Linked DNA regions of Mytilus edulis. The protein of the gene in region 2 binds, or shares a complex with, the protein of the main gene of each other region. Links are inferred from orthologs where the notes say so. Each region holds a gene or a part of one and is shown on either strand. Other genes may lie near its edges. The genes, in order: rab3 GTPase-activating protein catalytic subunit-like and rab3 GTPase-activating protein non-catalytic subunit-like.

What was found.
Region 1: the proteins of rab3 GTPase-activating protein non-catalytic subunit-like (region 2) and rab3 GTPase-activating protein catalytic subunit-like are in contact, whole or in part, in a cryo-EM structure (PDB 8VYB), measured with the Homo sapiens proteins. The link is inferred for Mytilus edulis from reciprocal best matches to the Homo sapiens genes RAB3GAP2 and RAB3GAP1. Residues at the interface, in NP_036546.2 of Homo sapiens: Arg197, His198, Pro199, Gly200, Ser276, Pro277, Phe278, Asp279, Met281, Lys282, Ser285, Asn286, Ile287, Gly289, Phe290, Asn291, Ala292, Ile294, Arg377, Phe378, Gly379, Leu380, Pro381, Asp382, Arg385, Cys395, Thr397, Leu398, Arg407, Arg415; in NP_036365.1 of Homo sapiens: Thr19, Ser21, Trp23, Glu24, Glu142, Ser143, Asn146, Leu147, Leu149, Ser150, Ser153, Ile154, Ile169, His170, Trp173, Arg174, Met176, Arg187, Asp189, Glu191, Met192, Val193, His194, Leu195, Arg196, Pro199, Tyr202, Ile211, Ser214, Lys215.

The regions. Positions count from the first base shown.
Region 1 is NC_092351.1:29,044,327-29,061,232, forward strand, and holds the start of rab3 GTPase-activating protein catalytic subunit-like, read right to left. Parts: upstream 8,256-16,906; 5' UTR 8,205-8,255; coding exon 8,190-8,204; intron 219-8,189; coding exon 166-218; intron 1-165. Other genes in the region: neutral amino acid uniporter 4-like, read left to right, coding at 14,636-14,817. UniProt on the Homo sapiens protein: Catalytic subunit of the Rab3 GTPase-activating (Rab3GAP) complex composed of RAB3GAP1 and RAB3GAP2, which has GTPase-activating protein (GAP) activity towards various Rab3 subfamily members (RAB3A, RAB3B, RAB3C and RAB3D), RAB5A and RAB43, and guanine nucleotide exchange factor (GEF) activity towards RAB18.
Region 2 is NC_092346.1:83,353,763-83,371,112, forward strand, and holds the start of rab3 GTPase-activating protein non-catalytic subunit-like, read right to left. Parts: upstream 9,416-17,350; 5' UTR 9,340-9,415; coding exon 9,231-9,339; intron 5,594-9,230; coding exon 5,408-5,593; intron 5,092-5,407; coding exon 5,013-5,091; intron 3,869-5,012; coding exon 3,821-3,868; intron 3,582-3,820; coding exon 3,506-3,581; intron 530-3,505; coding exon 428-529; intron 1-427. Other genes in the region: DNA repair protein XRCC3-like, read left to right, coding at 9,470-9,530. UniProt on the Homo sapiens protein: Regulatory subunit of the Rab3 GTPase-activating (Rab3GAP) complex composed of RAB3GAP1 and RAB3GAP2, which has GTPase-activating protein (GAP) activity towards various Rab3 subfamily members (RAB3A, RAB3B, RAB3C and RAB3D), RAB5A and RAB43, and guanine nucleotide exchange factor (GEF) activity towards RAB18.

The DNA.
Region 1 (16,906 bases), on a different chromosome or scaffold from region 2:
ATCAACCAAATATAACTCTAAACTCCAAAGGTATTAGAATAACACTCTTTTCCCAATCCAATATTTCCTATCACATTCTATCAACATAACTGAAATACTTTTAAATACAGATCTTATTTTATTCACTACTTTTATAGACTATAACATTAAAAATCCATATTTTACCTTTCCCAATCTGAAGCTGTTGTAAAATCTGTTATTTCAAAAACATCTGCATCCTACAAATAAAGAATATTTGAAATATTTTACCTTCTACATTCTTCACCTGTCATCATTGTAGGAGATAACAATAAATATGATACATGTGGTTGTTAGCTATTGAACCAATAATGAGGGTACATACAGCTGGAAGACAAATTATATATAATTTCATTTTTTCACCTTTAGTTTTTTGACACCATAAACATGATAAATGACAAGCCAATTTCATGATCAATTGTTTCTGATAATAAATAATAAATGAAAGGAAGATTGTACTTTATAAGTTATTGAATTATTCAAATACACACATATATTAGATGTTGCACTTAGTCTTCTATGTCTAAGGCACTGGCATAAGGATCTATGATAAAAGGGTGAGGTTTTTCATGATACTCAGGATTATGAATCCATATTTTTGTATATTTCCTTTTATTAAAGGTATACATAGCCAAATAAAACTGGAATGTCAAAAAAAAAATGAACCACCTGTTCAAGGAGCTAAAGCACAGAAGGCAAAATAAAAATGTGTTTTCAAATAATCTGCATCCAGAATGTATAATTTCAGTTTTTTTTTTAAATAGACATGTATTCAGATGAAATGCATTTGCAGATCCAGGATTTCCAAAAAATTGGGAGCCCGTGATAGACAATGTTAGATGTTGGAAAGATGTAAAAAGCCTATGCATTTAAGCATTAACAATGTATGTAGCACAATAAGAAGAGCCCTGGCACTGACCACTTGCACCCCTTCCCCTAAATTTGCCTATGATTTGTACAGCCTCAAAAAAACATCAATGGAACGATACAGTCAGTACCCAAACTTACTACAAGTATTTCTAAACCTGGGTTTGAAATAATGATATCTGATGTGGAGGAGGTATGTTATAACAACTATTTTTCGCCGCAATATAGCCTTTTTGTGCTTATGCAGCGTAAAGCAAACAACAATCAATCAATATTACAACTATATTTTTTTTATGATGACTTACAGCTTTGGTATTAAATTTACATGTATCGTATTTTCCATAGTCTTTAACATATCCCACCAGCTGATCAGAATATTACTGTTATACATGTATACAGACCCTCAAACCTGAAATACTTAGTTATGTAACAGATGGTCCTGAAGGGATACCAATAAATAATTCATTCAGAATAACTTACTAAAAGAAGTTTTAGTACTTTTGGGGAAATTAGGCTTTGGGGATGCTGACGGGTTAAAATATTGATGTGCTATTATTCTATTGGTTATTCATTTATTGAAAATATATACTCATTTAATATTACATAAAAGAAATCTGAACAATGCTAAATCTTTAATAGACCTCCACAATTTAGAAATGTTAAACATTGGATTGGATGGGTGATCACATTATTATTTATTAATGACAAAACTTTATTTCAACTGCTTTTACTCAACCTATCAAAATGGCTGGCTGATATTTTACAAAAGGCTTTTCCAAACTGTGTCACTGGATGTTAAGCCACCATCAATCAATCAAAACTGTGTCACTGGATGTTCAAAGCAACCAACAATCAATCAAAACTGTGAATTGAACCCATCAGAAATTGTGTTGCTTCATGGGAACATTGCTAGATTGGACATTCTGATTGGTCCCAGGGGCGGATCCAGCCATTTTAAAAAGAGGGGGTTCCCAAACCAGGATAAAAGGGGGGGGTTCCAACTTTATGTCCCCATTCAAATGCATTGATCGTCCAAAAAAAGGGGGGTTCCAACCCCCGGAACCCCCCTCTCGATCCACTACTGGGTCCAAACATCATTAACGCGGACACTATGACTGTGCAACTTAAATTACAAAGACAAAATTACAACTACAATGTATTGGAAAGCAACTTTTAAAAACTTGACTTACATGTACATAATAAAGCTGTTAGTTATTTGTTTCATTTGTTTTACATATGTCATTTCAGGGCATTTTATAGCTTGCTAAGTTAAATAGTAGTCTGGGTTTGCTCACTGTTGGAGGCTGCAGAAGACAATAAATTTTAAAACTGCCCACATTGAAAGCAAAGTCATATAAAACTATTAGAAAAGTGATAATTTAATTATAAGAACCTTGTAAAACTAATAAATTTGGGAAATTCTTGACGTAATTTTTTTGTAATTCAAAATTTCTTTTGAGTTTTGAAGTGAAATATAAATAACACTGGCATGTATTTACTGAAACATGTATAAAACAAAGTTTTAAAAAAATATTTAAGCTGTCATAATTTTTTTATCAGGTATACAAACATGACAAAAATTTTGAAAATGAAAATACAAAGTGAAACTAAATTTGGTGTCCCTACCAGCTTATTGCAGCAATTAGATATGATTAAAAAAGAAAATTCTTTGATGAATTTACCATCATTGAGAAGTCTTATAAGGTATTGAATGTTTTTAAATGATTGGACCAGGGAATACAATTATTTTAAAAGTTTAAAAGGCTGTCAATTTATTTCTTTATGATGTGTTAAATTTTATAATGTTGTTGACTTATTGCCTACAGATAAAAAGCAAAGATCAGTGACCACAGAAACGTTGACATAATCTCCAGGCATTATTTTTATGTCTTGACAATGAGGAACATTAAAAAATTTAGATTTATGATTTTTTTCAAATATTTTCTGTTTTACAAAAAAAACATGAATGTCACAGTGTACATTTGAAAACTGTAAATTGACACTTATTGTTCTTTTGAATAAACTTGTATATAAAGGTATTTATTTCAAACTTATGTTTAGTTTTATTCCATATAATTGTTGGTAATTTCTAATTAAAAATTATTTCTATGATAACTTCAATAAAACTACATTTTGTATATCAATGTAAACAATATAGAATCTGTCAAAAAAGCAATATGATTTTGCTGGATATCAAAACCCCATTCCAACACTCTAATAAATGTGTAAACATTGCAGAGAACAGTAGGAACAAGAGGACAATAACAAATATGAGAACGTTATTAAAAGCCATCTGTCGGGAATAGTGTAACTGTAACACTAGCATACAGACCTGAACTAATCAATACACTGTCAGTGATTGTGATAGACAAATTAACAAGAGAATTATTGATTGAAGGTGTTAACCAGGATATCATCCATTAAACCTAAGATCCTCCACAGGAAAATAGGACTTCTATAAACATATGACATGGCACTGACATCAAAACGTATTATCATGTCATTATATTTTGTTCTGACTGTGAAAAACAAAACAATGAGTTATCTGATTATACGGTGAAGGTTCTACAACAATTGATCATCAAAAATACAAATCATATGTATTGAAAACATAGACAGGAATAAAAGGCGATGAGGAGTATAAATCAATGAGACAGCAACCCAACAACAACAAAATGATCATTAGATATCTACAGGACAACATTCACTATTCAACAATAAAGAGGTGCCTATACACTATGTGAAGCTGTAAACTGTCTTTTAACAAAAGAGTATACAAGTTGTGAATAAATTTATCAGGAAAAAAATGGACCTCCAATTTACACCCATATCTCCCAAAAGAAAAACTTCAGACTAATACTGTATGTCATAATGTAAAATATGACTTGAATGAAGACAACACAGACTTTGCAGCCACCAGAAACACTTTCAAGGCCTGTCAACAGTTGTTATCAAGTCAAGTGGTATTATATAAATATAAGATTTGATATGATTTTCTGTGTCTTAACGCCACTTATAAGCACCCCTTTAAGGCTATTATGAAGCGGCCAGTTATAATTGGTGGAGGAAGCCGGAGTGGCTGAAAAAAAACCCCAGAGACCTTAGATTGAAAAACTGACAATACTAGTCAATTAAGATTGGAGTCAAGTGAAACAATAGTGTAACATTATGAATTGATTTGATTCTTGAAAAATAACCTACAGCTAAAATTATAAAACTGACGTCAGGGAAATAGTTTAATGTTAGACAATACCAAGGATTTTGCAAGGTATAAATGGAGACAGATGAAACTCAATACTAGACACTAAACTAACTGTATAAATCCTCTTCAGTCTAAAGTTCCACAAAGCTGTTAATCTTAGTACCAATCAAATTGTGTTATATGATCATCATAGTTAAACATCATGCATTTATAATAGTACAAAAAAGGAGGTCATAAAAAATCCTTGGTACAAGGAAACTCAGGAATGATAAAAAAAATAAAAAATATCTTGATAAAATTATTTCTGATCCTGCTGATACAGTATTTTGTTTTCAATATTACCAATTTTTGCTATATATATTGAAATGGACAACATTTCCTTAAAAAGAACCAGATGTTAAAAAATTTTGAAGAAAAATTTCTACCAAATTAGGTCCTTTGAATTATTTCAAAAGGTTGAATTACTACATCTGCTTCCCTGTTTTGGGCACAGGTCAAAATAATTTAAATTTTTTTTTTTTTGTATAGAGTAAAGTTGTGAAGTCAATATTTAAGTTGGTAACTTTATTTTTAAATCATCTATTCTCAATATAAAAATTCAAAAACTGTGATATATCTATAATACTAAAATTACGAGGTCCAATTTGTCAGCCGTCATCACGTAAAAACGACGAATCAAAGAATTCAACTTTATATATAACTAATATAGTACAAAGGTGTAGATTAAAAATTACACCACTCCAAGCCCTTTTGTTTTCCACGTAATTAATATTGCCAATAATTAAGAAGTTCCGGATCGAGTCCAATACCGATACCAATAGTATATTCACCTGTTACCTATTACCTTATCTGTACGTTCCGCATCTGACAGGCGCACCACCAAACGGTGTATTCAGGATTAATATGCTATATACACGGGTCATAATCACAGGATTGACACTACTAAATTGTAGTATTTTAATCAGTAAGACTTTCTAAGATAACAATACGAATACTAAACATCTGGACTAAAAATAAGGCGTATAGTTTTCAATTTGTTAGCGGGCATGACGTATTACCAATAATTGATAAGTTCCAGTTCGACGGGTTCAAACAGAAAGATTTGAAAACAGAGAAAACTGTGCATCTTATAATCGGCGTGACTTTATCAGATGACAATACTAATACTAAAATAAGGCTTGCGCAAAGTTATATACTTTAATTCAGTCACGGACTCGCGATATCACGGGTGTGTTCTAGTACATTATACAATTATGGCCCGTTGAAGAGGTGAATATCCAAAATTGTCAACACGAGAAGGTTATTTCATTGAGGGCGCAGCCGAACTAACAGTGGAAGTGCATTTCGAACACAGACTGACGTTTGAAAATACATTTGTGTTTGATTTTCTCGAATATATACAACAAAAGTAGAATTTTTTTGTAAAATATTGATGGCCCTGAAAAGGACCGTTTATAAGAGACATCATCGGCTGCTGCCACTCTCAGCTCTATGTCCAATGCCGTATTTCCTCGTCTCTCGATGGGCTTCCAGTGTAACGTGAACGCTGCCATTTTGTTTATTTACGTTTGTGACGTCATTTTTATGGGAGGTAACTCAAGTACAAATAAACAAACTCAAAAGGTTATTCACCGGTGAATAATAGGGTTATTCACCGCTGGTGTAAATTCTTTAGGGTTATTCGTCCTTCCTTCAATTGAATGAAAATTAACTGAATTATTCCATGTCACGTGATTACGTTTCACCCAATAGAATTGTTTGAAATATACGTAAGGTATAATAAGTACAAATGTATGTATTCATGTACATGTACATGTACCGGTAGTATAATAGATTTTAAACATTTCAGAGATTACTGACAAAATTTATATGAAATTAGACAAAAATTAAGTTTAAGGTGGTACCTAACACTACAGGGAGATAACTCTATAAAATCAGTTAAACGTTTTAATTACGTTGTGTTGTTAAGGGAATATTAAGCATCTCAATGATTAAAAAAAGTGTTTGTCAAACTGCTATATAACCAGTGTAATTTTTCTGATAAAATGGTTGGTTCAAATTTTTTGATTTTTTTTTATACTTTTGTCAAAGGGTCAAAGTAAATACTTTGTCAAAATTTTATGAAAATTAAACGAGTCAAATAAATTTAAGTTAGGTACCACCTTAAATATAATTTAATAAATATATCAACCTATCTATTTAGTATTTATCCAGAGAAATATAAAAGTAGTGACAACTCACTGGAGATGTATAACAACATATGCTAAAGAGACATTTGGAGAAAATCATTTAAAAATTAATTATATCTTGAACAAACCCATTTCATCTTATAGAATATACAAAATGTAGATCCAATGATTTATCTTTAGAAGTCAACACTTTGACTTAAAATGTATGGAAACTGTCTTACAAATATTGGTTCTTGTCTTGTCAAGGTTGACAAGGCTATTTACATGTTTATAGTGACGATACATTATGAAATTATTGGATTATTTACCTTATGTAACAATTGTTTTCGTGTTTGACTTGTTTTACATTTAATCATGTCAGATTTTTTTACATGTAGCTTGATAGAAATATATAAGCAGTTAGGCTTCTGCTCATTGCAACATTTAAACTTGCCTTATAGTGACCTATAGTTGCTAAAATCTATGTCATTATGAAAATAAAAAGATGTGGTATGATTGCCAAGAGTTCCAAGACAAGCATGACAAGACAAGAGACCAATTGGCATAGAAATTAGGAACTATAGTTCTCAATACTGGTTTCAATAGTCAGCTATAACAGGTCACAAACTGAAAAATGTTAAACAATTCAAACGAGAAAACTTAGGTCCTAATGTTGTTCATCAAACCTAGACTTGATCACATGCAATCAACTTTAATTATTATAGGGTAACAAAAGGGATTAATAAGGTGCATACATACATTTGTGATAAGCCCTTTAATCCGGTTGTTGGAAATGGTTGAATATTTTTAATCATCATATTTTATGATTCAGATCATTCCTTAACCTCCCAGCACCAGAAGTCAAATAAGGCCTCCAGATGGAATGATTTTATAACAAAACAAATAAACAATTACAATTTGCCTTTGAAGCAATCAGGACATGTCATAATTGATTATGGTATTAGGTTAGAAGTTAGAACCAATTATTCAATGACCCTGTTTAAGCTGATTCACACCAGGTCAACCAGTGGCGGATCCAGAACTTTTCATAAGGGGGGGCCCGCTGACTGACCTACAATGTAAGGGGGGGCCACTCCAGTCATGCTTCAGTGATTTCCTATATAATCAACCAAATTTTTCCCACGAAAGGGGGGCCCCCCATGGATCCGCCTATGTCAACGGGTGTAACTAATTAATAATAAAAAAAACATGTATTGGTGTTTCGAAATCTCATTACAAGATAACCCTGTAAACTTATGCATATTAAAACAACTGACTAAGACATGAACAATGATGTATAGAGGTTAACTTTTTGCTAACTGGCTCTAACATAATTTTGTTACTATGTACATGCTGTACATGAGTGGCTTATGTCATGATCAAAGCTAGTCCAAATAATTATGACGTCTTGAAAGGCTATTATAATTTTTTTCTTTGACGCCTTACTTCGACGTCATAATGCTGAAGCCGCCATTTTCGGTTGGACTTCGAGAGCATATTTTGCGAAGTAAGGCGTCAAAGAAAAAAATTATAATAGCCTTTCAAGACGTCATAATTATTTGGACTAGATCAAAGCTAAACAATTAAAAAACATTTGATGCCAAAAAATGAACAGATGAAGTGTCTGCAACCAATAGCCTATAGAAATTATACAATGCCTAGCAGAATAAAATTATTTCTAAATTAAATCAAAATACTGAAAGTAAATACACTTGAAATATGGGAAATCTTTTTCAGTTTGAATTACATCTAAAGTGAAATAAGAATTTTAATGGACTGATGAAAATTGACAGATCATAACTGAGATCGTGGCATAAACAGATGTCTTTAAAAATCAGCGATTAAAACAACTCCTTTAATATCATTGCAAAGCAACTTCGTTTAAATAATGCATATTTGAACCATAAACACAACTAAAAGAAAACAATACAAACTTCATCTGATGCCATTCTTTCTTCTTGTTGACGTTTCTTTATCAAAGGGAAATAACTGTAGGTAAATTTCCGGTCTTCTTGCAATCGGGACCGTCTCAAGATACACAATATTTTTAGTAATTTAATTATAATTTTTTAGTTTTAATCATCTGAGTCATTTGCTGTGTTATAATTATTATCCTTCTTTTAACCGAAATCTAGCACCACCAAACTTTTTTTTATGATCTTACTTTATTATCTGACAGAAAATGTGTGTTACAAGTGTTAATTATTCTGTAATCCGTTAATTGTATTTGTCACTTATTTGGAATATTATTTTGTATTTTTCAAGCCTATTCATTTAATCAATGGTTTGTTATATAAACTGTTTAATTATTTCGATATGGCAGATTGAATATAGTATGACACTGTCATACTATAGTCACACTGAACAGTTGCAACTCCGTACAATTGTATTCTATGCTTAACTATTAAAGGGGCACTAGCTGTCAAAATCATGATCACCGATTTGACGGAAATTCGAATTAACTATCGAGATGACCTCCTTAATCTGACGATATTCACTTCACCTGATATTAACATAAACATAAATATAAATAGATCGAAGACCTTGTGCAATTAGACTTTTCTAGGTCTGTTTGATTAATGTTTTAAGTTAAAACAATATATCTATTTGATTTGGATTTTTTTTTTATAGTCTCAGTATGGAGAACTCCCTGGAATCAGAGATCTGTGTACAACTATCTCTACAAAAAATCTTGCGTCTAACGTATTTTTTTTTATTATAAAGCTCGAAATAAAAATTTTTAAAAAATGAATGCTAATGATGTATAAGAAATACTTGAGAATAAATTTGTTAAGGTTAAGAGTATGGTTTTAATCATACAATTTATTCCTGTCCACGTTTAAAATAGTCACAGAACTTTACTTCACATTCATTTGTTTCATTAATGATCACATCCTCAATTACACTTACTGTTTTCATTATAGTTTTCTATGTTTGTTTTTGTCTATGTATTTGTGATGCCAAAATTGTTTTTTGTTTGTTTTGCAAATAAAGAATTATCATATTCTGCTATCAGGAAGTTAGTTTGATTCAACGGGTTTACAACCTCATCTTAATTTTAAGTCAGTTTCAAGTATGAAACAATGCTTGCATTTCAGGAGAACTGTATTTCTCTAATTTTCTAAAACAAAAAAATCTCGCGATTAATATTTAAAGACGAAGGTAAGGAATACACAGATATAGCTGAGGTAATACATATGGAAATTAGCAAATTCTATAAAAATTGAAATATTTCCCTCCTTTCAAATATGTTCATCCTTTTTCATCACGTTTATTCATTCAGGTCCAGTGATATAACATAATTTCGCCTCACATTTTTAAATTCAAAACTACGGCCTTTGGTTAGGAATAAAAAATAATGCTACAACAACAAAAAAGTAGATGTTGCTGGAAAAAAAAATAATCTTAATATGTTTTTGCCAAGAAATAATTCGATGTGAGCGAACTGCAAAAGTGAAAAAGGTATTGCATACACGCATATATGGTTAGAAAGTGTCCAAAACACCTACCCTTAGTTGTCACAGACTTATAGTGGTCAAGGTTAAGCTTTCTCGGATTTATAGAACAGTACTATAAAAAAAAAAGGCATGCACTACATTTGATATAGGGATTATTTTATATTTATCACTATGCGCACGTCCGAGGTGCAACTGTGTTAATTTTAACTTAAATAGGCCGGTTTAATGCTATGCCTGCTTTGTCTGCTCTCTAGTGCACATGTACTTTAATGTTTACATAGTTCATTGTCCCCAACAGTTTGATAGTGAAACCTTACCAAATACTCAAGATACAACAAAATCCTTGTTTTTTTATTATTAAAAACATGATACGTAGTTAACAAAGTATAACCATTGCTTATCGGGAAAGTGGTCATCTTTCTTAAACAATTAAATGTGTTGTTTGTAAATTCCAATACTTAAGGAAAAGATTTCAGGTGTTATCAACCTTATATTGGTAGTGATACAAAATGTATAATACGCTGATAGATATCAAATCTCATTATCAGTCATTATCCGTTATGACTGACGTAACAGTCATGTGGACATATATATATATAGGATAGTTTACTAAACTTTGTAAGTATGCTATTTCAGAAAGTAAGGCAAATAAACGATATTTCATAAAATAGGGCGAATGAACGAACCAGAAGTACATTTTAATTGGACACAGCTATTGACGTTTATTTTCATTTCCCTATCTGTTTGGTTATTCATAACCTCTTTTAAAATGTGAGCTGCGTCGGACATAAATCGATCATAGGCAAATGAAATTATAATTGTTATGAATGCCTATTTCGGGTTATTAAAAAATCTATTTGGAATTAAAGTTTGTAACTATTTGAAAATTCAGTTGTTATAAGAACCCTACGAAACAGACCATCATTGATCATTTAATTCGTATTTGAATGTCTAAGAGACAACAAACCGACCACAGAGCAGAAAACTGCACAAGGCCACCAAAAGGTCGTCAACAGCAGCTCTGCAACACAGCGAGAAAATCTCGCATCCGGATTTGGGCTTCAGCTAGATCACAAACAAAAACATTTGCATTAGCTTAATGTCGATTTCTATCAGACGCAACTCATATCAAACACTCTGAATTCCATCATACACATTGTTCTATTTTGAATTCAGCAGAGTCATATTCTTATTCTGTCATGTCTGTGTCCCCGTTTCTGTTTAAATATAGAAATACGGGATAAAATGACCGAATGATAAAAGTTAACAAAAATAGACCGTGTCAATTTTATATACTTGACCGTGAAACCAGTTAATTGGTATTGCCAAAAAAATATGATGTTTAGACGAGTTGTATATACATTATGTACACAGCCATGTATCGCCATCATTGATGGCGATCCGATGGATACATCTGTTGTAGAGTTGTCACTGACTCAGACGTACTTATAAATATAATTATTTTCTGTGACTGTATATTACATTAATTTGTAGGATCATTTACTATAGATAATTTAGCTGATCTGTAACAATAACATCTTCATGCCTTATATATCATGTACTGTAGTACGCCGCTAGATTAAAATTGACGAGGAAAGGTAACACACGGCCAGCGAAAGCTCTTTTTTTGAGAGCCCAGGTGGTCGTGTGGTCTACCGGGACGGCTGCAGTGCAGGCGATTTGGTGTCACGATATAACAGTAGCATGGGTTCGAATCCCGGCGAGGGAAGAATCAAACATTTGCTTTCGTACAGATCTAACATTGTTGGGTTGATGTTTAGACGAGTTGTACATATTTAAACAATAAAAAAAAACAAAAAAAACCCCCACGACTGAAATGTAAATTACACATGTCATATTATATAAATAACACATAGCTGAGAGGTATGTACTGAGAGAGTGATAGAGCAAATTGGTACCCCGAAAAAACATTGTCAAAAGCGAAGCCAAGGTTGACAATGAAAATATGGAATTTTAACAGAAAGTATAATAATAACGAATGTTTACTAAATACTGAAAGCAAGCTTATTTCATTTGTTATCAATGAAACCATGTCTTCTTAAATTTTGATTCCGATTTCTGTACATGTGAAAATATTTCCTCTAAAAACGTCATATATAAGCATTCAAAGAAACATACACATGATATATTAGTGCAAAAAGTATATAAATAAAAATATAGGATGTAATGATAAAACAAACAATGTGAACACTAGTAAATTAGTCAATAAATATAAGATTATTGGTTCAAAGGATAACGTAAAACACCTCAGCAGGTTTGAATGACTTTTTGGAATCAAATGATGGTCGATGCATGCATAGCAGGAGATGCTTAGTTATCTATGGTTAAGCTGATTAATAAAAGAACAAATTACTTTTACAAAATCTTTGTGTTAGAAGATTTTCTTAACCAAATACTCAATCCTTCGATTGCAATTAAATCAAACCAAAACCGCTACTTTAAAGAGATAAATCTTAGAAATCAAGACATAACAGAAAGATCATACGTTCCCATCAAGGGAATATACTCAGAATCGAAGTCTTTTTTAGCTCACCTGGCCCGAAGGGCCAAGTGAGCTTTTCTCACCACTTGGCGTCCGTCGTCCGTCGTCCGTCGTCGTCGTCGTCGTTAACAATTTATATTTTGAACTTCTTCTAGAGAACCACTGAATGGAATGGAACCAAACATAGCATGAATGTTCCTTATGAGGTGCTGACCAAGTGTTGTTACTTTGTAACCGATCCATCATCCAAGATAGCCGCCAGCGGGGAACTTAGTTTAACATAGGACGCTATGGGAAATGCATACAAATGACTTCTTTTAGAGAACCATTGAATGGAATGAAACCAAACATGGCATGAATGTTCCTTATGAGGTGCTGACCAAGTGTTGTTACTTTGTTGCCGATCCATCATTCAAGATGGCCGCCAGCCGGGGACTTAGTTTAACATAGGACCCTATGGGAAATGCATACAAATGACTTCTTTTAGAGAACCACTGAATGGAATAAAACCAAACATAGCATGAATTATCCTTATGGGGTGCTGACCAAGTGTTGTTACTTTGTAGCCGATCCATCATCCAAGATGGCCGCCAGCGGGGGACTTAGTTTAACATAGGACCCTATGGGAAATGCATACAAATGACTTCTTCTAGAGAACCACTAAATGGAATGAAACCAAACATAGCATGAATGTTCCTTATGGAGTGCTGACCAAGTGTTGTTACTTTGTAGCCGATCCATTATCCAAGATGGCCACCAGCGGGGACTTAGTTTAACATAGGACCCTATTGGAAATGCATACAAATGACTTCTTCTAGTGAACCACTGAATGGAATGAAACCAAACATGGCATGAATGTTCCTTATGTGGTGCTGACCAAGTGTTGTTACTTTGTAGCCGATCCATTATCAAAGATGGCCGCCAGCAGGGGACTTAGTTTAACATAGGACCCTATGGGAAATGCATACAAATGACTTCTTTTAGAGAACCACTGAATGGAATAAAACCAAACATAGCATGAATGTTCCTTATGGGGTGTTGACCAAGTGTTGTTACTTTGTAGCCGATCCATCATCCAAGATTGCCGCCAGCGGGGGACTTAGTTTAACATAGGACCCTATGGGAAATGCATACAAATGACTTCTTTTAGAGAACAACTGAATGGAATGAAACCAAACATGGCATGAATGTTCCTTATGAGGTGCTGACCAAGTGTTGTTACTTTATTGCTGATCCATCATCCAAGATGGATGCCAGCCGGGGACTTAGTTTAACATAGGACCCTATGGAAAATGCATACAAATGACTTCTTTTAGAGAACCACTGAATGGAATAAAACCAAACATAGCATGAATGTTCCTTATGGGATGCTGACCAAGTGTTGTTACTTTATAGCTGATCCATCATCCAAGACGGCCGCCAGCGGGGGACTTAGTTTAACATAGGACCCTATGGGAAATGCATACAAATGACTTCTTCTAGTGAACCACTGAATGGAATGAAACCAAACATGGCATGAATGTTCCTTATGTGGTGCTGACCAAGTGTTGTTACTTTGTAGCTGATCCATCATCCAAGATGGCCGCCAGCGTGGGACTTAGTTTAACATAGGACCCTATGGGAAATGCATACACATGACTTCTTTTAGAGAACCACTGAATGGAATGAAATCGAACATGGCATGAATGTTCCTAATGTGGTGCTGACCAAGTGTTGTTACTTTGTAGCCGATCCATTATCCAAGATTGCCGCCAGCGGGGGACTTAGTTTAACATAGGACCCTATGGGAAATGCATACAAATGACTTCTTTTAGAGAACCACTGAATGGAATAAAACCAAACATTGCATGAATGTTCCTTATGAGGTGCTGACTAAGTGTTGTTACTTTGTAGCCGATCCATCATCCAAGATGGCCGCCAGCAGGGGACTTAGTTTAACATAGGACCCTATGGGAAATGCATACAAATGACTTCTTTTAGAGAACCACTGAATGGAATAAAACCAAACATGGCATGAATGTTCCTTATGAGGTGCTGACCAAGTGTTGTTACTTTGTAGCCGATCCGTCATCCAAGATGGCCACCAGTGGGGGACTTTTGAATGAAATTAAACATGTTCCTTTCCTTATTTAAATGAGGTTGTGTTGTCACTTTTAGCCAAATTTTATATTTTTTTATATGATTTCAAAAACCCAAGTAGAATCAGGTGAGCGATACAGGCTCTTGAGAGCCTCTAGTTTATGGACGGAAACTATCTTGAGAAATTTTCAATAGCCAGGCAAGGTCTTAAATGTACATACTATACATATGAAATGTATTTCAGGTAATGTATTTTTTTCAAAAATCATATGTATGATACTACACAACACAAACTAAAATATTATTGTAATAATTAGACTGCAATCTAGCATCTTGTGATATGGGAGATTCGGGAGAGAAGAGGAGTTTATTACATACAGTGCAAGAAACAACTATAGACGATAAGACACTATCCGTTACTTCATCGGCTGAGATAGAGACAAGTGATCGTTACGAGTATGTACCACAGAGTCAAAATACCCTCACATTTGAAGATGACACAGCCAAAAGTCTTAAAGTGAGGTGAGTACACAAATATAGATATGCAATGATAAGATAATTTATTATTTTCCAGAACCACGATACTTTACACACTGTTTTGAGATTTCAAAAATATTGATGTGAAAAATCCCCAACATTCTGCAACATTTATCCCCCTGGTGGGGTATCTGTTGCCCAATCTTTCGTTTCCTGTGTAGTTTTTTTTTTGCCTTTTTGTTGTTTATCTTTTGGATTTGGTCATGGCATTGTCTGTTTCTTCTTTTGGCTTGGTAATGGTATATCTGTTTTTCTTTTCGCATGGTCATGTTATTGTTCGATTTCTTTTGGCTTTGTAATGTCAATGTCTGTTTTTCTTTTTTCTTTTTAATTTGTCATGGTATAGTCTATTTTTCTTTTGACTTTATCATGATATTGTCTGTTTTCCTTTGGCTTGGTCATGTTAATGCTGTTTATCTTTTTGGCATGGTCATGGCTGTGTCTGTTTTTCTTTCGACTTGGTCATGGTAATGTCTCTTTTTCTTTAGAATTTGAATTTGTCATGGTATATTCTGTATTTTTTCTTTCATTTGTCATGGTATTGTATGTCTTTTCATTTGGCTTTGTCATGGTGAAGTCTGTTTTTCTTTCGCTTTGTCTTTGTATTGTATGTAAAAACTAAAAAGTAAAATCACAAAAATACTGAACTTAGAACTTTCAGATGGTTCGGTTATGATATTGTATGTTTTTCTTTTGGCTGGCTCATTATATTGTCTCATTTCTTTTGGGTAGGTCATGGTATTTTTCTGTTTTTAATTCGCCTTGGTAATGGTATTGTCCGTTTTTATTTTGGCTTGGTTATGGTTTTGTCTGTTTTTCTTACGGCTTGGTCATGGTATTGTCTGTTTTTCTTTAGGCATTGTCTATTGTCATGGTATTGTCTGTTTTTCTTTAGGCATTGTCTATTGTCATGGTATTATCTGGTTTTCTTTTGGAATTGTCCATTGTCATGGTATTGTCTGTTTTTCTTTTGACTGGTTCATAGTATTTTCTGTTTTTCTTTTCTTTTCTTTTGGTTTGGTCATGGTATTGTCTTTTTCTGTTGACATAGTCATATAGTATTGTCGGGTTTTCCCTTTGGTTTGGTCATGGTATTGTCTGTGTTTGCTTTTGCTTGGTCATGTTTTTTTTTGTGTTTTTCTTTTGGCTCGGTCATAGTATTGTCTGTTTTTCTTTTGACTTGGTCCGTTTTCTTTTGACCTAGTCATGGCACTGTCTGTATTTCTTTAGGCTTGGCCATGGTATTGTCTGATTTTCTTTTATTTTGCTCATTTTATCGTCTGTTTTATTTTTGCATAGTCATGGCCTTGTCCCTCTCCTTCCAGTTGTAGCGTTTATTTGCTCCCATTGTATTCTTTCCCCTTTTCCATATTTTTTAAACACTGTATACACACGTCAACGTGATTTTGGTGTGTCAAACTACGGTATAAATATTTTTTTTACATTTGGTTTTTCATAACTAGATTTTTCAGGAAACACATCTTTATGTTATGTTAGGAACTAAAGCATTATATTTTGTATTTGCTATACTCACATATTGTATACTAGTATGTAGATTACATAATTTAACAATGATAAGCATTATTTTAACAAAATTTATCAAATGATCTCGTTACATAGTTGTTTTTAGACAAAAGACCTATAATAAATGTTTCTTCTGGTACCTTTGATAACTATTTACACCACTGGGTCGATGCCACTGCTGGTGGACATTTTGTTCCCGAGGGTATCACCAACCCAGTAGTCAGCACTTCGGTGTTGACATGAATATCAAACATATGATCATTTTTATAAATTTCCTGTTAAATAACTATGAATTGTTTGAAAAACTAAGGATTTTCTTACCCCAGGAATAAATTACCTTAGCCGTATAACTTTTTGGAATGTTGGGTCCTCAATGCTCTTCAACTTTGTACTTGTTTGGCATTATAACTACATGTATTTTGATCTGATCGTCACTGATGAGTCTTATGTAGACGAAACGCGCGTCTGGCGTATGAAATTATAATCCTGGTACCTTTGATAACTATTTCTTGACAAAAAATATAAGAAAACATAAAAGAAACTGAGACAA
Region 2 (17,350 bases):
ATTCAAGATTTAATTAATTCCTTGTTTAATGAAAAATCATAAAACACCACCTAAACATAAGTGAAGTGAGACTTATTGCTTACAAATGATCCACCATGTTAAGTATTGAGTAGACAGGAATTCTGATCATTATAAATTGACATTTTTAGGTCTTAATAACACAAATTCATCAATCATCAGAAATCTGCATATTCTAATTCAAATTGTCCTATATATCCAAAATAAAGGTCATATGACTGCCAAAAATGACTAGCTTTTCATCCACTCCCATGTTAATTTAAATTTATAACATTTTTCTGTTCTTTTTAAATCTTGCTACAGAAAGACTATTTCCATGTCTAATACAATATCTATCAATCAATTAGCTTTATTTAATTTTGTTTTTATCATAGTTGAATAGTATACTCTATTTAATGTAATTCTGTACCTGTTCAGAAAGACCAAGGTATCTTGGAGGTTCATAAGTCCTACACTTGATCTTTTGAACTGGTTCTGTATGCAATAACTGGGATAAAAGCAAGGTACCAGTCTGAAAACATAACAACATTCAGTTATCTGCATATCAACTTATGGAAATATGAATAATCAAAGCGCTGTAAGCGCTGAAGGCAGTTAACCAAAAACCAGGCAATCGTAATTATGTGCAGTGGCGGATCCAGAAATTTACATAAGTGGGGGCCCACTGCCTGCCTAACAGGGGACCTGCTCCAGTCATGCTTCAGTGATTCCCTATATAATCAACCAAATTTTTTCTCAAAAATGGAAAATGGGGGGAGGGGGGGGCACTGAAAAACCCTCTAAATCCGCCTCTGATGTGGCATTAAACATTCATATATTGTACATTTATGTTTATCTAATGAATTAATTATTAAGGCAAATAATTTATATGTTATCAAGGTTTCAATAGCAATGAATATATAAATGTATATTTTTTATGGTGAGTCTGCAGTGGTACAAGTTCGCAATGATTGTAGTTGTTCTTGTTGGTAGTTAACGTTGGTTTTAGTTGACTGTTAGTAGTACGTGTTGACTTAGTACGAACATGTAATAGTATGAATAGACTGGTTTCCCTGTAAAGAAAACTGAGTATGTATTCTATAATACAATAGTTATGCGACACAAATCAGACAAATGTTCACTACTACAAGGATCAAAGGTGAGGTCTGACTGACCTGCCCATAGTAAATGTAAATGATTTGTTATATTGTCCCATACATGAATATATATGGTTTTAGGGGTGGGGATCTCGAGGGTTTTCAAGTTCTCAAACAGGAAGGAGTAGGTTGACCCCAGGGACTTCCCCTATATTTCATTTGATTTGTTATATTGTTCCATACATGAATATATATGGTTTAGGGTGGGGATCTTGAGGGTTTTCAAGTTCTCAAACAGGAAGGAGTAGGTTGACCCCAGGGACTTCCCCTATATTTCATTTGATTTGTTATATTGTCCCATACATGAATATATATGGTTTAGGGGTGGGGATCTCATCGGTTTCCAAGTTCTCAAACAGGAGGGGGTAGGGGGACTCCCCCTATATTTCATTTAATTAGTTATATTGACCCATACATGAATATATATTGTTTAGGGGTGGGGATCTCAGGCGACCGTTTCGTAAGTTCCCAAACAGGAGGTGGTGGTCACCCCATGGACTCCCCTTATATTTCATTTGATTAGTTATATATATAGTCCCATACATGAATGTATATGGTTGAGAGGTGGGGATCTCATCCGTTTCAAAGTTATCAAACAGGAGGGGGTAGAGTGGCCCAAAGTACGCCACCTATATATCATATGATTTGCCTACACTCAGGACTCAGGTAGTTATTTGTGAAAATAAGGTAAGAATCTTCCAGCTACTTTAACTGACCCTTCAAAATTGAGAAAAAAAAATACCCCTTCAAAATTGCAGTAATATGTTTACACTTTAAAAGCATCTTACATGCATTATCAACATTTATCACTGATAAAGAAAATTTATACTGTGACCAGGAACATATATATTGTTAGATATACTGTTCCCAGCTGTCACATTGTATTGGATTTTGACATTAAAATTTGTCAAAAGTAATTTTGAGTTTCTGTTTAAAATATTTTCTGCTTTTTCTTTCTTTTACATATATCAATTTCTTTGAGCTAAAAATAAGTTAACATATTAGTTGCTTAGTACTAATAATATTTCTTTTCTATTTTACTCTCTCATGTTTGTCAGATTTGTAATATTTCGGTGATTCTGAGAACAATAAATAGTCTGTTTGGTTTTCAATTCTAGTGTTTATATTCATTTACCATGCATAGATGTATTTTGTCAACTGTCTGGATTCGCTAAAAACCCGGAATTACCCTTATCCGCTTCCGGAATCGGATCCGAAATTGTAATTGTCTTTTTCACGGCAGCCATTGTCATATTGTGTTCAATGTTGTTTTTGTCAGTCAGATACGATTTTACTCGTATTAACACATTTTTTGTCGGTGATTTTCTGTATATAGCTAGCGATTGAACAAAATTGACATCGCTGTCATGAATAATAATGATTAAAATAAGTTTTGAGATCGTTTATTTGGAGACTTTGGCGAAAAGGTTTGCAAAGCTATTTTTTATTTTCTTTCAAGTCGAACTGAGAGTACTATAACTGTGATATAGTTGTCTCAGAGTGGAAGACTCGTCAGGCGTGGCTAGTAACCAAGTCGAAAGTGGAAGGTCGCGGACCTCGGACCACCGCTAATTTGAACCCCTGCGGCTCCAAATTGAAAAGATACGAATTTCGTCTTCTAATTTGAAATTGCCGCCAACAGCATGAACAGTTTTTTTGACATCTTAGCCAAAAGCACAGGCGATAATAAATTACATAAGAATTCCTAATGAGCACTACTTCCTATGTGCAACTTCAAAAGTTTTGGGTGATTCGACGATCATTTAAGGTTTTTCTAGTCATATTTTTTGTAATCCAGAATTAAAAGTATTAAAAAAGTGTTCAATTAGTTATATATAACATAGTAGCCAGCTAGATAATAACAATGGCAAGTATTTCAGCATTTATTGGGTAGACCACAAATCTAGGGTGCTCGCATAATGCAGATTAACTGCATAAAAATAATTATATAAATGTAATTTATTTGAGAACTAGAAGAAAACCTATGATTAGAAAGCCCAGTCAAATAAACTCATTGGAGAGCTTATTTCTTTTAAATCCTTGTTTTACATTGTTTATATATGCAAGAAAAATTGTAGCATACCCTATTTTCGGCGATTAAATATTTCGTACAATTGTTTTTTGACATCTTAGCCAAAAGCACAGGCGATAACAAATTACATAAGAATTCCTAATGAGCACTACTTCCTATGTGCAACTTCAAAAGTTTTGGGTGATTCGACGATCATACCCTATTGTTTATCTAAAATGCTTTTAGTCAAGTTTTTCAGTTGGCAGGCATTGCTATAATTTGTTTTAGATACAAGTACCAAAAAGATCCAACAACACAGAAATCAATACCCCAATTTTACCTCAGTATAAATCCTGATGTACCCAGTGGAAAATCCTACAATAATACATGTCCAGTCTGGAGCACCCTGTGTACTTCTACAAATAATAAAGAAATTAGAAATTACCCATGTTTATAAATGTAACTAACAAAAAAAATAATTAAGTCTATTTTTATGTGGTGTGTAAACTAAAAGCAGATTAACATGTTGAAGAATCTACATTTTTTTAATACATTGTACTAAATACTTTAATTCAGATCTCATCCAGTAATTATATCTATATAATCATAAAATGTATTATAATATTCTAACTAAGGCAAAGACAGTTTTCATTACCTTTTCTGAGAGGCTAATGGCAGACACAAAACAGCTGTTATGGTTTCCCTATAATAAAAATATAAAACAAAATAGTCCTACTGCATGACAAAATCAAGTCATTAAACCATTTTATCATATGTTTAGTAGTAAATACAGTAGTTTTGCATATGTGATGAATAGCCTGCTGTTTAATCCATATCGCGCAACTTTGATGCGCACCCTTTATCGCATACCCTTTATCACACCCCTACCCTTTATCACACCCCTAATTTTTTTTTTTTTTTTTTTTTTTTTTTTACATAAAGTCAGTTTGGTTTTTTTTTTGGCTTAAGAAAAATTTTCCTCAAAATAGATAAATTTTTTGAATGACGTCATTGTTTGGTATGTGACGTCACGAACATCGAGTTTTCATATTGTATGTGACGTCACGAAAATGCAACTATGAAAAATACAAAGCACACAAATTAATACAATAATAAACAAAATATTTTAAAAACAACAGCACGCAAATTGTAAGGTAACCCAAGTGCTTCGGATAAGTAATTGAGCAGTTCTTTTAAGGCCTTCGAAACAAGACAAAAGTAGAACTGAAGGTAACCCAGTGCTATGGATCAGAAAACAGTTCATATAATATAATACTCTTCTGTTGAAATATATGATAAAGTGTATAATACATGGCAAAATCCGTATCACATGCCGTATCACCCTCGACCAATATCATCCCTCGGGCCTAAAGGCCCTTGGGCTGATATTGATGTCTCGGGATGATACGACATATGATACGGATTTTGCCATGTATTATTCTCTATGTAAACATATGAATAATAAACATAACCCAAACTAAAAAGTATTTTACACACATAATCACTTAGTCTTAACCAATATAATATATACAGTAACTATTTCCACCTCTATGCCTTACTATTAACAACCATAATTAAGCTTTTTCTACGGCCTTCGATTCTTTTTAACCTCTTTGATAACATGATGAAGGGCAAAATCACATGATCTATTCTAATAAAATTGAGAATGGAAATGGGAAATGTGTCAAAGAGACAACAACCCGACCATAGAAAAAACAGCAGCAAAAGGTGACCAACAGGTCTTCAATGTAGCAAGAAATTCCTGCACCCGGAAGGCGTCCTTCATCTGGCCCCTAAACAAATACATGTATATACTAGTTCAGTGATAATGAACAATTAATACATACCCTTCATCTTGTTTCAAACTTTCTTTATACTTCATAGAAAACTTGGTCTCTGATTCTGTGTCACCAGGATCCCATTTTTCTGTTAAATATATTAAAGTCATGAAGAAAAAGTTACTACAAAAGTAAATGAAAACAGGAAGGGTTTTAGCAAACTATAAAGTCACTGATGATGTATACATGTACATGTAAATTGAATTGTAGCTTAGTTTATCAAAAGCTGTGCAAAAATAAATTAAGTAGTGCAACTTTGAATTTCAAATTACTTTACAAATACTTTGTAATGCGATAAATTGTATGTAACACTTTTTTATGGCTCATATTCACTTTAAAAAAAATCTATTTTCTAAGCATATAGTTTATGGTTCAAAATTTTATTTTAAGTAAAGCCTACATACGTGAGAGCAGGACAAGTTTGTCACCATATGCCACAGCCATGAGATCATTAGCAGGTGAGATGGATATGAGACAATCCTGTAGCCAGTTGTGTTTATTCTCCTCGGTTGACTGAGATGAGTCTGAGTCATCTTGTTCCATCGGTTCATCTTCATTCCAACTCCAATCCTCAGTCCAGGCATCATTTCCTACAAACATATAACATTATGGTTTCAATACTTTCTTAACATAAATTTGTAAATGACTAGAGAACAATGTAAAGGTAAAACCGTTGACACAAAGATAGCAAATTAATGTATTTATATTATAGGGGCCTTTCCTAAAACCTTTCTTATCAACAACTTTGACATTTTACTCCAATAAGAAAACATAATCTATATATGTTTCTGTGAAATGTAAAACATATCATTTTCCTAAGTTTTATCAATTCTATGACAAGTAGGAATGAGATTTTACTTGTTCGTCTTGGGAACTGTGGTCAGTTTGCCCATTTACTGTATCTTTTACGCCCACATCCATTTACCCATAAATAATATTCTTCTTTGTTTTATTTGTTTGTTGTGTTGTATAATCATGATATCGATGCTACAATATATTATAAATAATAAATATTGTAATTAAAAATTATTGAAAGGGACCTTGAAGGTTTGCAGCCAGGAAAAATATTTCAAAAGTATTAATATCCTTGGTTATGCTAAACACGTAATCATGTTCAGGAACCTCATTCATTGTCCTTTGGGCTTTTGGATAGTTGTCATCTGACCATCATACCATATCCCCATTAGTTTTGGTTAGAAATTATATATAATTAGATCAATGGAATCAAGATGTGAAAGTAAATTTAAGCTTTTTAGAAGATAGGAAACAAAAAGTCGTAGTGAATGGTGAAGAGTCAGACTGGGCTAACGTTACATCTGGGATACCCCAAGGATCAGTATTAGGACCACTACTATTTGTTTTATATATAAATGATCTCCCAGACCAAGTAGATTCTGATGCATACCTATTTGCAGATGACACTAAGGCCACGGTTTTTTAATTTGATGGTTTACGGATTTTCCCAATGAAAAAGTCGGGTCGGTCGGTCGGGAAAAAAAAGAAGAAAAAAAATCATCTTTGAAGACAGAAAAATATGCAAAATCAATATATATTTCACCTTTCTAACAATATGTTTGTTATGCTATTTTATCATCATTTCTTAAATTTTAGTTCGATGAAATATTATTGCTCAAATGTTATAAACATCGCATGACATTGTCCAATAAATTACAGTAAAAAAAAGGGGGGTGCACGGACAAAGACGAAATTAAATCGTCATATCAGAAACAAGAAAAATAAATTCGCGTAGCTCTTTATCAATTCCTGAAAACTTGGTGAATAATGATCTTCAAGCACGAAAACTGATAAAGAAAAAAATGTAAAAACGTCGTACGAAAATAAGTTTCAACACACGTGTTAAAAACCTAATAGACTCGTCCACTGGAAAACGAGATTATCGGGTTAATCTGTTGTCTCGCATTCCCGTTTTTTATCCAAATGGACGATAATTTTTTCATTATCTATGAAACAAGAAAATTCCAAATGATTTGTTAATATTCAGTACTTCAACTTGATGCCTTTACCCTGTCCACATTTGGACAAGTCTATTTCTATGAGATGATGATCTTACGGACTGATGACAAATAAGGGAAACGAACTTATTGTGTAATTGGTTTTAAAAACAAGTTTCGTTCCGCAATATTATTTGCGCAAACGACATTTCAAGGTCAGTTATAATTGATTTGTCTATTTTTAGAAACGTAAACTGGAAGTTTTATTTTTTCACAACAGAAAGTGTTATCAATTTTGTTAGTGATTAATGCATTTCATTTCATAAAAAAAAATTATTTAATTATTTTTCAGGGATAATGCATTTGCTAGGGTCGGCGGGAATAAAAAAGCATGAAAAGTCAATTTTATTTTTATTCTGGAAATCGGAAAAATCGGGTCGGCGGATCCGTAAACCAACAAATTAAAAAATCCTGGCCTAAGATCTTCAGAATAATTAAAACACAAAATGACAGACAAATTTTACAAGAAGATCTTAATAAGATGGAATCCTGGAGTGACAAATGGCTACTAAAATTTCACCCAGAAAAATGTAAATATATGAAAATAAGTAAGAAATCTAATAGCACTGACCATCCACCAATCTATAACCTACTAAATCATCCTATAGCACAAGTTAAAGAGGAAAAAGATATTGGAGTCCTCATTGATGCAGAACTCACATTTGAAAACCACATTAGTGAAAAAGTGAACAAAGCAAACTCCATATTCGCAGTTCTTAGAAGAACATTTAAATACCTGGGAATAGAGACATTCATGCCACTATACAAAACCATGGTTAGAACACACCTAGACTATGCCAGCTCAGTCTGGTCCCCATACAAAAAGAAAGATATAGACAAAATAGAAGGTGTTCAAAGAAGGGTAACAAAACAACTACCAGGGCTAAAAGACATGAGCTACCCAGAGAGACTAAAAAAACTAGGCTTACCTACATTATCCTATAGGAGAATAAGAGGAGACATGATCGAAACCTTCAAAACAATGAACGGACACTACGACAAAGAAGTTAGCTCATTTTTAAGAAAGGCAGAAGATTCTCAACAAAGATGTAGTAGTAGGACCAACAGTAATAAAGTAGTTCATCAAAGATTCCAATCTAATATCCGTAAACACTCTTTCTCTGTTAGAATTGCTAAAACCTGGAACAAACTACCAGATAAAATAACAAAGTCACCATCGATAAATTCATTCAAAAATCGACTAGACAAATATTGGTTAGACGAAGAATTATACTATAATGACTATAGAGCAGAAATATCCGGAAGTCACGGTCAAAATAGTATAAGAAACACATTAAGTTACGAGTCTGGTGAAGAGGAACCTTGAGGGATCCTGTACTGGAAATCAACTATAAGTAACTATAAGTAAGTAAGTAAATTGTTTGATGTGGTTTTTTTTCTTAGTTTGAATTAAAAGATTGTTATTTTCATAATAGATAATAAGATAAAAAAAAATTATGAATTATGCATGTAGGTATGGGTAATTTTCAAGGAGAATTTCTCTGGTGAGTTTTTCCTTGAAGCACTCACTAGTTGTGTTTGCCTTGCTTTCAATTTGGACAAAATGTTGAATGTCATCCTATGGAATGGCAATTTTATTACTGGTGATTTGGAACATTTTTAGTCTGCGTTTAAGGGAGACAGCTTATTGGGATCTCTGATTGCAGGGTCAATAGCAGGAATTGGCAGACTAATGGCAAGAAATACATTGACGCCAATCAGCTCGACATGAAGAACAAATTATTATGAGAAATTATTTTTCAGAAGCCTTCCTTCAATGTTGTAGGAAGGCATACCAGCAATTAACAGAATGTTGACATTCTGTCTTATCTAAGCTTACTCAACATATATTGGCCCCGGTTACCTTACTTACAATATTTACATAGAACTGATGTAGCCAGAACGGGTTGTATGTACAAACCTACAGATTACTTCCTAAACCATAAAAATACTATACCAATCCTTGGTCAGTCAGATTACTAGACATAAATCTAAAATGATTTTTTTTTTCTTCTCTCATAAATTTTATACGATTTTAATTACACGAACGTATTTTCTTATTTAAAATGTAGTCGAACAGGACGAACCGTCTATGGGCAAATGGACCCGAGGTGACCTACGAATGTAGCCCCCCCCCCCCCCCCCCCCACACACTTTTTACAAAACAGTCTCGATTATGTACCCCACCCCCCTTTATTTTACAAAACAGTCTCACCACCACTGTTACTTTTCTGTGTCGATTCATCTTTTAAGCAGGGAAAGAGATATTCTCTTAGTGATGAGACTTCTTGGAAATGAGCAAATACAGAGAGCTGGCATGACATGGTTTGTATTTCTATCGTTTTAAAAGTCTCAAATGAAAATCAATGTTTACGTTCCGAAACGGAAACGGAAGTTAAATATGGTTTTGGCGGGAAATGTTGAGTTTGGTATTTTCTAAAATACTGTCAGTAAATGTCAGAACAACTGTCACAACTAGACATTAATCCAAGAATTACTCATGCATTGATAAAAGGTTAATATTTTTTTAAGAGATTTGATTTTAGGTCAGTTTAAAATTTCTATTGGAGGAGACACACACACAAATTTTAAACTATTCAGAAACCAAAATTTCTATCAGTATCAACATTTACTGTGACAGTTATCATAACCTTAACTCATTGACATGACAAACTTTAATATATTTATATAGACAACAGACACTATTTATTAGCACAAACACATTCACATGTATGGCAAGCCAAAGTGGACAAAAAGAGCTATTTTCTAATATTAGAAAATGATTTTTTAATATTAGAAAATGATTTTTTTATTATTAAAAAATAGCTCTTTTTGTCCACTTTGGCTTGCCACAAAGAGCTATTTTTTAATATTAGAAAATGATTTTTTCTAGCTATTTTTTTAATATTAGAAAATGATTTTTTAATATTAGAAAATCATTTTCTAATATTAAAAAATCATTTTCTAATATTAAAATGATTTTATTTTCTAATATTAAAAAATCATTTTCTAATATTAAAAAATAGCTCTTTTTGTCCACTTTGGCTTGCCATATACATGGTTATATACACTGGTAGACCTATTTGGCAAATGACCGCGATTTTTGGCAAATCTACGCGGAACGGAGAATAAATAGAGGTTCATCGTAAATTTTCTGTTTTACAGAATATTTTGCGGTTCTCCGGAGATTTTCCGTGTCTCAGGGAATTATCCGCGTGTCTCAGGGAATTATCCGTTTGTCCGATTAAACTGGTGTGTATTGAGTCAGTGATAGAACCAGTGATGCGTGAGCGATGGTTATTAATAGATCGTTGTATAATCCGTTATCTGTGAGCAACGGATATTAATAGATCGTTGTGATTATATACACTGTTTATAGTCAGATAAAAATAACCGTCTTATTACCCTTTTCAGTCGAGAAATAAAAAGCGGTGGTTTTGATATTAAAGTTACTTGCAATTTAAATATCGAATTTAGTTCAATAAAGAATAATCTATTTAAATGTGACCAATGAACAGGAAAATGCACGTGGTAACTTTGCAATACTACAAATATGTTCACCTTACAAAATTCTTCTTTATTGTCATGTTAAGATAAATCAGTTCCTGTAAAAACAGACTCTTAATTACTGCAGATGCCGTAATCCGACATTATGTCATACTGATTTGACACTTGTCTAATGTGAGCAATACCTGCAGTGCTGTGATATTTTTGCAATACAACATGGACAAGCGGAAGGTCGTAAATCAATCTGTTGATCCGAATTTAACTTTACCTGTTCAGATATTTATTTATGGAGGATATCATAGATACATTTAATAAATTGTATTGTATTCAATGGAGATAATTTAAATACACAATATAATTTATTAAGACATATTTGCAGGTATACATTGAACATGTTTTCTCCAACCAAGAAGGTTTGATATTGAATGCTTTTTTTTTTTTTTTTTTTTTTTTTTTTATCAAACTTCGATCTGATCAGTCTCGTAGATTATAAACGAGTAATTCGTTTATAGTTACACATTGTTACTCTTCTAACGTCTTTTTCTTTGTGCTATTAAAAAAAACCTCACAATTTTCCACATTAGATCGACATTTATATATATATGAATACTGGAAATCTTTTTTCCGTCCGACACCACGCTCCCCACAAGAGCCCCAAGATATAATCATACCTGTCAATCACTAGCCGCAAGTTGAACATTTTGGCCAGCCTTCCTCGTGCTTTCAATTATGACATCGTTGCGAATTTTTTTATTTAAATTGACATGTGAAAAGAATAAAGTGATGGGAAGTTTATTTTACGACCTATCAAGACTTCTTGTGATTGTAACAAGATTTTTCTTAGGCCGCATTTCTTTCTAACAAGAATTTTGTAAACGTTGTGTCGCGTGTGTTACTGTTTTCTACACGAGTAGAAACAAATACATCGTTTGATAAATCTTTAATGACCCTGTTTGAATTTTCAATAATGCATGCACATGTTGTTAGTAATCAGACTTTTTTACAAACGTAGAAACAAATACTTCGTTTAATCAGGTTGAAGTTAGAAAAAAATGCAGCGTTTGTACTAACAAACGACAAACTGCAGACGCATTTTTAGCGTTTGCATAGTTTGTCAAAGTTTATGTAAACTTTGCAAACGTATGTGTTTGAAAGAAATGATCAAAACATGTGCGAGCATAGCCGTTTGCATCGTTTGCATCTTTAATGAGTCTGAATCCGTAACCGTCAAAATAGCATGCTTTACAAAAAGATCAGCCAATTCAAACGTTTCTTTACACAAAGATGATTTTAAGTACGTCATACATTACATGTAAACATTTATTTAAGTAAATTTTTTTCGTATCTATCTTTTTCGTATCTATCAATTTGGTTACAGGGTTGATGCAAGTAAGTTGTACCGTGTGGTGCGTTTTCAGATTCATTTCTCAACAACTTCCTGTGAACTGAAATATTTCGGCGGGGGTATCAACGGCGGCAAGCTTACAGTTTAACTTGCTTAAATTTTATTTAAGTCAGTTTATTGAAATAAAATTGAAAATGGAAATGGGGAATGTGTCAAAGAGATAGCAACCCGACCATAGAAAAACAGCAGCAGAAGGTCACCAACAGGTCTTCAATGTAGCGAGAAACTCCCGCACCCGAAGGTGTCCTTCAGCTGGCCCCTAAACAAATATATACTAGTTCAGTGATAATGAACGCCATACTAATTTCCAAATTGTACACACGAGACTAAAATTAAAATAATACAAGACTAACAAAGGCCAGATGCTCCTGACTTGGGACAGGCGGGAAAATGCGGCGGGGTTAAACATGTTTATGAGATCTCAACCCTCCCCCTATACCTCTAGTAGCCAATGTAGAAAAGTAAACGCATAACAATACGCACATTTAAAGTTCAGTTCTAAAGAAGTCCGAGTCTGATGTCAGAAGATTTAACCAGATAAAATAAACAAAATGACATTGTTTTTGCAGAAGATTAATCCAGACATTAACGTACTTTGGCTTCCCATTTGTTCCACTGTGTAGGATAACTTATTTACGCATTAAATCATTAATAATTACCAATATTAAAATGCTGAAATGCTAGTTGTATACTTATTATTTTACTAATTTGCGTTTTGGTTCCGTTTAAATTTGCTGTTATAGCATGTATAGATTCCTTGATTTTCATAACTTATCTAGTTTCAGTTGTTAAATACTAGTCAGTAAAGAGCTAAATATTTTGCCTTCCAGCAGAGCCAACAACTAAGCATCAGACGTATACGTGATACATTAATCATATATATATGTAATATCAGTAATGGACTCCTAGACTTTTTCTCCTTTTATAGCCGACTATGCAGTATGGGCTGTGCTCGTTGTTGAAGGCCGTACGGTGACCTACATGTATAGTTGTTAATTTCTGTGGCATATGGTCTCTTAACGAGAGTTTTCTCATTGGCAATCACACCACATCTTTTTTTTAAACGGACTCATTTAGCATTTGTTATATTCTCAACGGTTGAGAAAAACTCCATGGATGACAAGTCAACTGGGGTTTTGAGTTGAACATTTTGATTGTGTATGTTTATAAGGGTTTGAATAGGATTTATATAGAAGAAGAGAGAATATATATGGACAAAAAGTGCACAACAAAGGGCCAAAAAAGTAAATAAAATAGACACCAAGAAAACAAAGAATATAGAATAATGGGGGAAAATATGAAGACTACAGAAAAATTACTTACAACTATAAGACAATATTCAAGACCCTCGTATGTGTTCAAATACAATCTGTATACACTATAGTATATATCTTGCTATAAAGTTCCGTTCTCAAGGTTTTTTGCTCGAGCCTGACTGTCTGATTCTATTTAATTTTTAAATTGATGTCCAGTGGCAAACATTTCTAGAGTTGTGTCATTCAGGAAGTAAATACAAGAAAAAATGAATCTGTTCATGCGCGGGTTGGTTAAAAATAGAGCTCCCTACATATATCTTGTTTAAAAAAATATTTATTTTACTCAGCTATCTTCAAGGCACTATCTTCTTCTGTTACATGAAATTGTGATACTGTAAAATTGACTGATTAGATTTTATTTTAGATTGCCAAAGTTTGAAGTAGTAGAAACCATTTCCGTGACCTGTGTTTGTTGCACTCTGTGGGTAAAATCCAGTAGTTTGTTTTAGCCTACTGAGATTTTAATAACTTATTTTCGAATGATGGAACCATATCAAAATAATAAATTGAACACGGGTTTGACAGTCAGTAAACTGTCACACAAGAAATAGATTGAATGTTGCATGTACACTAGTCCAATTTGTAATGTTGTCTTTACGTCCTTCCACATTCTTTTTTTTTTTTCAAAATCCGGAATCCGCTTTCGAATATATTATGGGAGTCTGTCAATGGAGCTAGAGATACATTTAACGACCTTGACTGGCTGCACAACCCTTGCACGGTAGATAAATACATCACACACAGATACACTGGCTGGTTAAAGGGACAATAAACCAGAAGTGTAAATTGACCCAGGTATTTTAAGTATATTGTGTGTAATGTGTCAACAGCCACGTGTTCGTGAATTCATAGTCGCTTGAATTTTAGTGATATATGTATGAAAAAAAATTAAAAAAAATACTGTTATATGTATAATATATATGAAAAAAAAATTTTAAAAATACTGTTATATGTATAATATATAATATGTATAATATATAGAGAATAATACATGGCAAAATCCGTATCATATGCCGTATCACCCTCGACCAATATCATCCCTCGGGCCTAAAGGCCCTTGGGCTGATATTGATGTCTCTGTCTACTTAACTGTTTATATGGGAATTGGTGAAAAAGTCATAGTTCAAAGTCATAAATGAGCGTAAATAAGTGTTCCGTGAAAATTGTTTTCGAAAATCTAATTTGTTCATAATTCTTTTATGTAATAAACTTATTTAAATAAATTTGTACCTTCCCTTGTCTGATCACCAGCATGGCTAAAGGTATTACTCCCAAATGTATTGTGAGGTGACACGTTCAGGTATTCAAGCGATTTCCTGTCGGACTTGCAAGTTCATGCATCGCTTCACTTCTAAGGGTATTGATCAGTGTATACGACCGATAACTTTTGAACTATCAGGTGTATAGTATAAATCTCTGTCTTGCGTGTCCGATATACTAGTCATTACTAAACGCATAAGCTTGTTTATAAATTACATTTCTGTTGTAAAGAATATTATTTATAAAAATCTAAATAATTCAAAAAAAAAAGATTTGATAAAATAAAAATCTGTTTTCACATTTTTTCCAAGGGTAAATTTGGGGAAATGTAAGTACTCGTTCTCAAAAGTGAAGGACAGTTTGAAACGTACAAGAAATATTGATTTAACAAAAATATACGCACTTTTCGACCATTCTTTAATACGCCTTGATAGAAAGTTACGGAACTATAGATAGTTGCAATTCAAAATTATATACATTTTTACATTGAACATAAGAAAGAAACATACATTTTGTTTATTTGGGTTAAAAGTTCTGTAAATAAACTAGTCCTCGTATGACAACAGACTGAGTATGTTATCATGGGATGTCGATGGACGAAGAAGAAGAAGAGAACTTATTTGAATTAAATACAGGTCGATATTTAACTTGCTTTGGGTTCATCGAAGTTATGGACATAGTAAAATCACAGATTTCTATTTCAACAAGATTGTTCTCGAACAAAGGAAGGAGTTGTCGTCTCAATTGTTGGCTATAATTTATAATGATGTGAACATGGTTCTGAAAGTACATTATGCAACATTTCCTGTTCCGACATGCATGTTATACATGCCACTGGACAATCACTAATTATCCCCAAGGGTTGTGAATATTTTGCTGGAAAACTATTGAGTATCAAAGTTTCAAATTAATTTCGGGATTTACTTTCCTTCTTGGTATTCAATATTCAATAACAGAAAAAAGAATAAACTGCTTGTCCGCTTAATAGGGGTATTCTTGTTATAGTTATATTAAAAAATAGGGATATATGACATTAAATTGGTTCTGTCTTTTTTTTTATCCTAAACATCGTTAAAAAGATGTGTGTCTAAGGTGAACGACACAAGAACCCTGTAATACTAGTACGAGAGCATGTTAACATTCCTTCTCAATAATATGTTTGTATTGGAAATCTTTTCATACAGATTGACAACTCATGGTCCGATATGCATGTAATATTTGCCACATGACGCCCATAGTTCTTTCTACCATCATCATCTTATTCTTTGATATTGCTGTAAACATCGATGGTTCACACCCAAACAAAATGGAAGTAATGTACCTTCTGATAGCTTCTCCGTGTTATACACTTGTGAAACTTAATATATAGACGAAATTTCGGTATTAAAATGAATCTACATCTCACAAACAGGATTTTTAAATCACGATTTTGAGCAATCGTTGTAGGTTCATGAATATTCATATGGTGCTTTTCTTTAGCGCCAATTGGAAAAAACGTATCTTTAAATAAAGTTTACATTATTAAACATATTCCTCAGAAATCAGTTATCATAAAACCATACGAGTTATGATAAACCTTGATAAAACAAAGTTCTGTTATCATAAAACATAAAATAATGCACTATGTAAACTGGAGTAAAATTATGAGAGTTCTAAGCACTGTACATGTACTATAGTAAAGTTGTAAGTCTGTTCTGTCACAAAACTTTTAAGCGATGGTCCATGCAGTAATATTCATGTCTGGAAATGTCCTTGGCTGTTTATCCAAAAGATATAGTCTGGTTTTTTCTGTTTCCCATCGTTTTTTGAGAAATGCATTTAAGAGTGAATCGTTAACTGGGTAAAGACCAGTGGCAAATATCTCTCTGTCGATTTGGGAAGATATTTTCTAATTCATTTGAAAATATTTATATGTGTTTGCAATGTTCAATGCTTGGACTTTGAAAAGGCGCTAATAAAGCTAACTAAATATTATTTTGATAAAAGAGGTAATACAACAAATTTGATTTTACAAACAAATAATTCTGTAAACATCGCGTGTGAGGGTTTACACGGAGTTAAAAGAAAAGACAACAGGGCAAATCTGATGAAAAAAAAATCCCGAAAATTCGTAGTAACAGGAAATTAAACAGTAATTGAAACCCCCTCCTCAAACAAATGTACCTCATGACCTGTATTATGCTGAGGTACAATTTTTTTGGTGAAAAAAAATATAGAATGCTGGAAGTGTTTCGATGTGCTATTGGAAAATCCTTTGACAAAAATGGGTAGGGTTCACCAGGCCACGGCTTAGGTAGCACTTCACAGAAAATATAGTTACAATTGAGCCACAGAATGTTGAATAACCTTCCAACACTGGCCTTCTAATACGTTAGGCCAACTGTTAGTGTCATACATGCAAAACTACAGACCTATCTACGGAGTGCTACCATACTCACATGCTCCCGATACTAGTATGTTGAAGAAGTAATGAAATTAATAGAACCAGAGCCGGATTTAGTGGGGAATGGCGTTGATGAGAGTTTTTAATAGTCTTGATTTGATTGATTGATATCATGGAGGTTTTTAACGACACTGACTCAATGACTGGCTATACAACGCATAGAAGCTTTTGACGACATAGACTGCCTAAACAGCCCTTTGAGTTTCTCAGTCGGCTATAAAGGGGGAATGACACGGTGTCCGCCCCCTTTTGTTGAAAATAAATATTGATTATATAGGGAATCACTTGAGAATGACTGGAGCTGGTCCTCTCATGACATTATCAGTTAGTCTCCCCTCTCCTTATATATAAAAAAAAATCTGGATCTGCCACTGAGAACAAGTTTAATAAATTAAAAAAAAGAA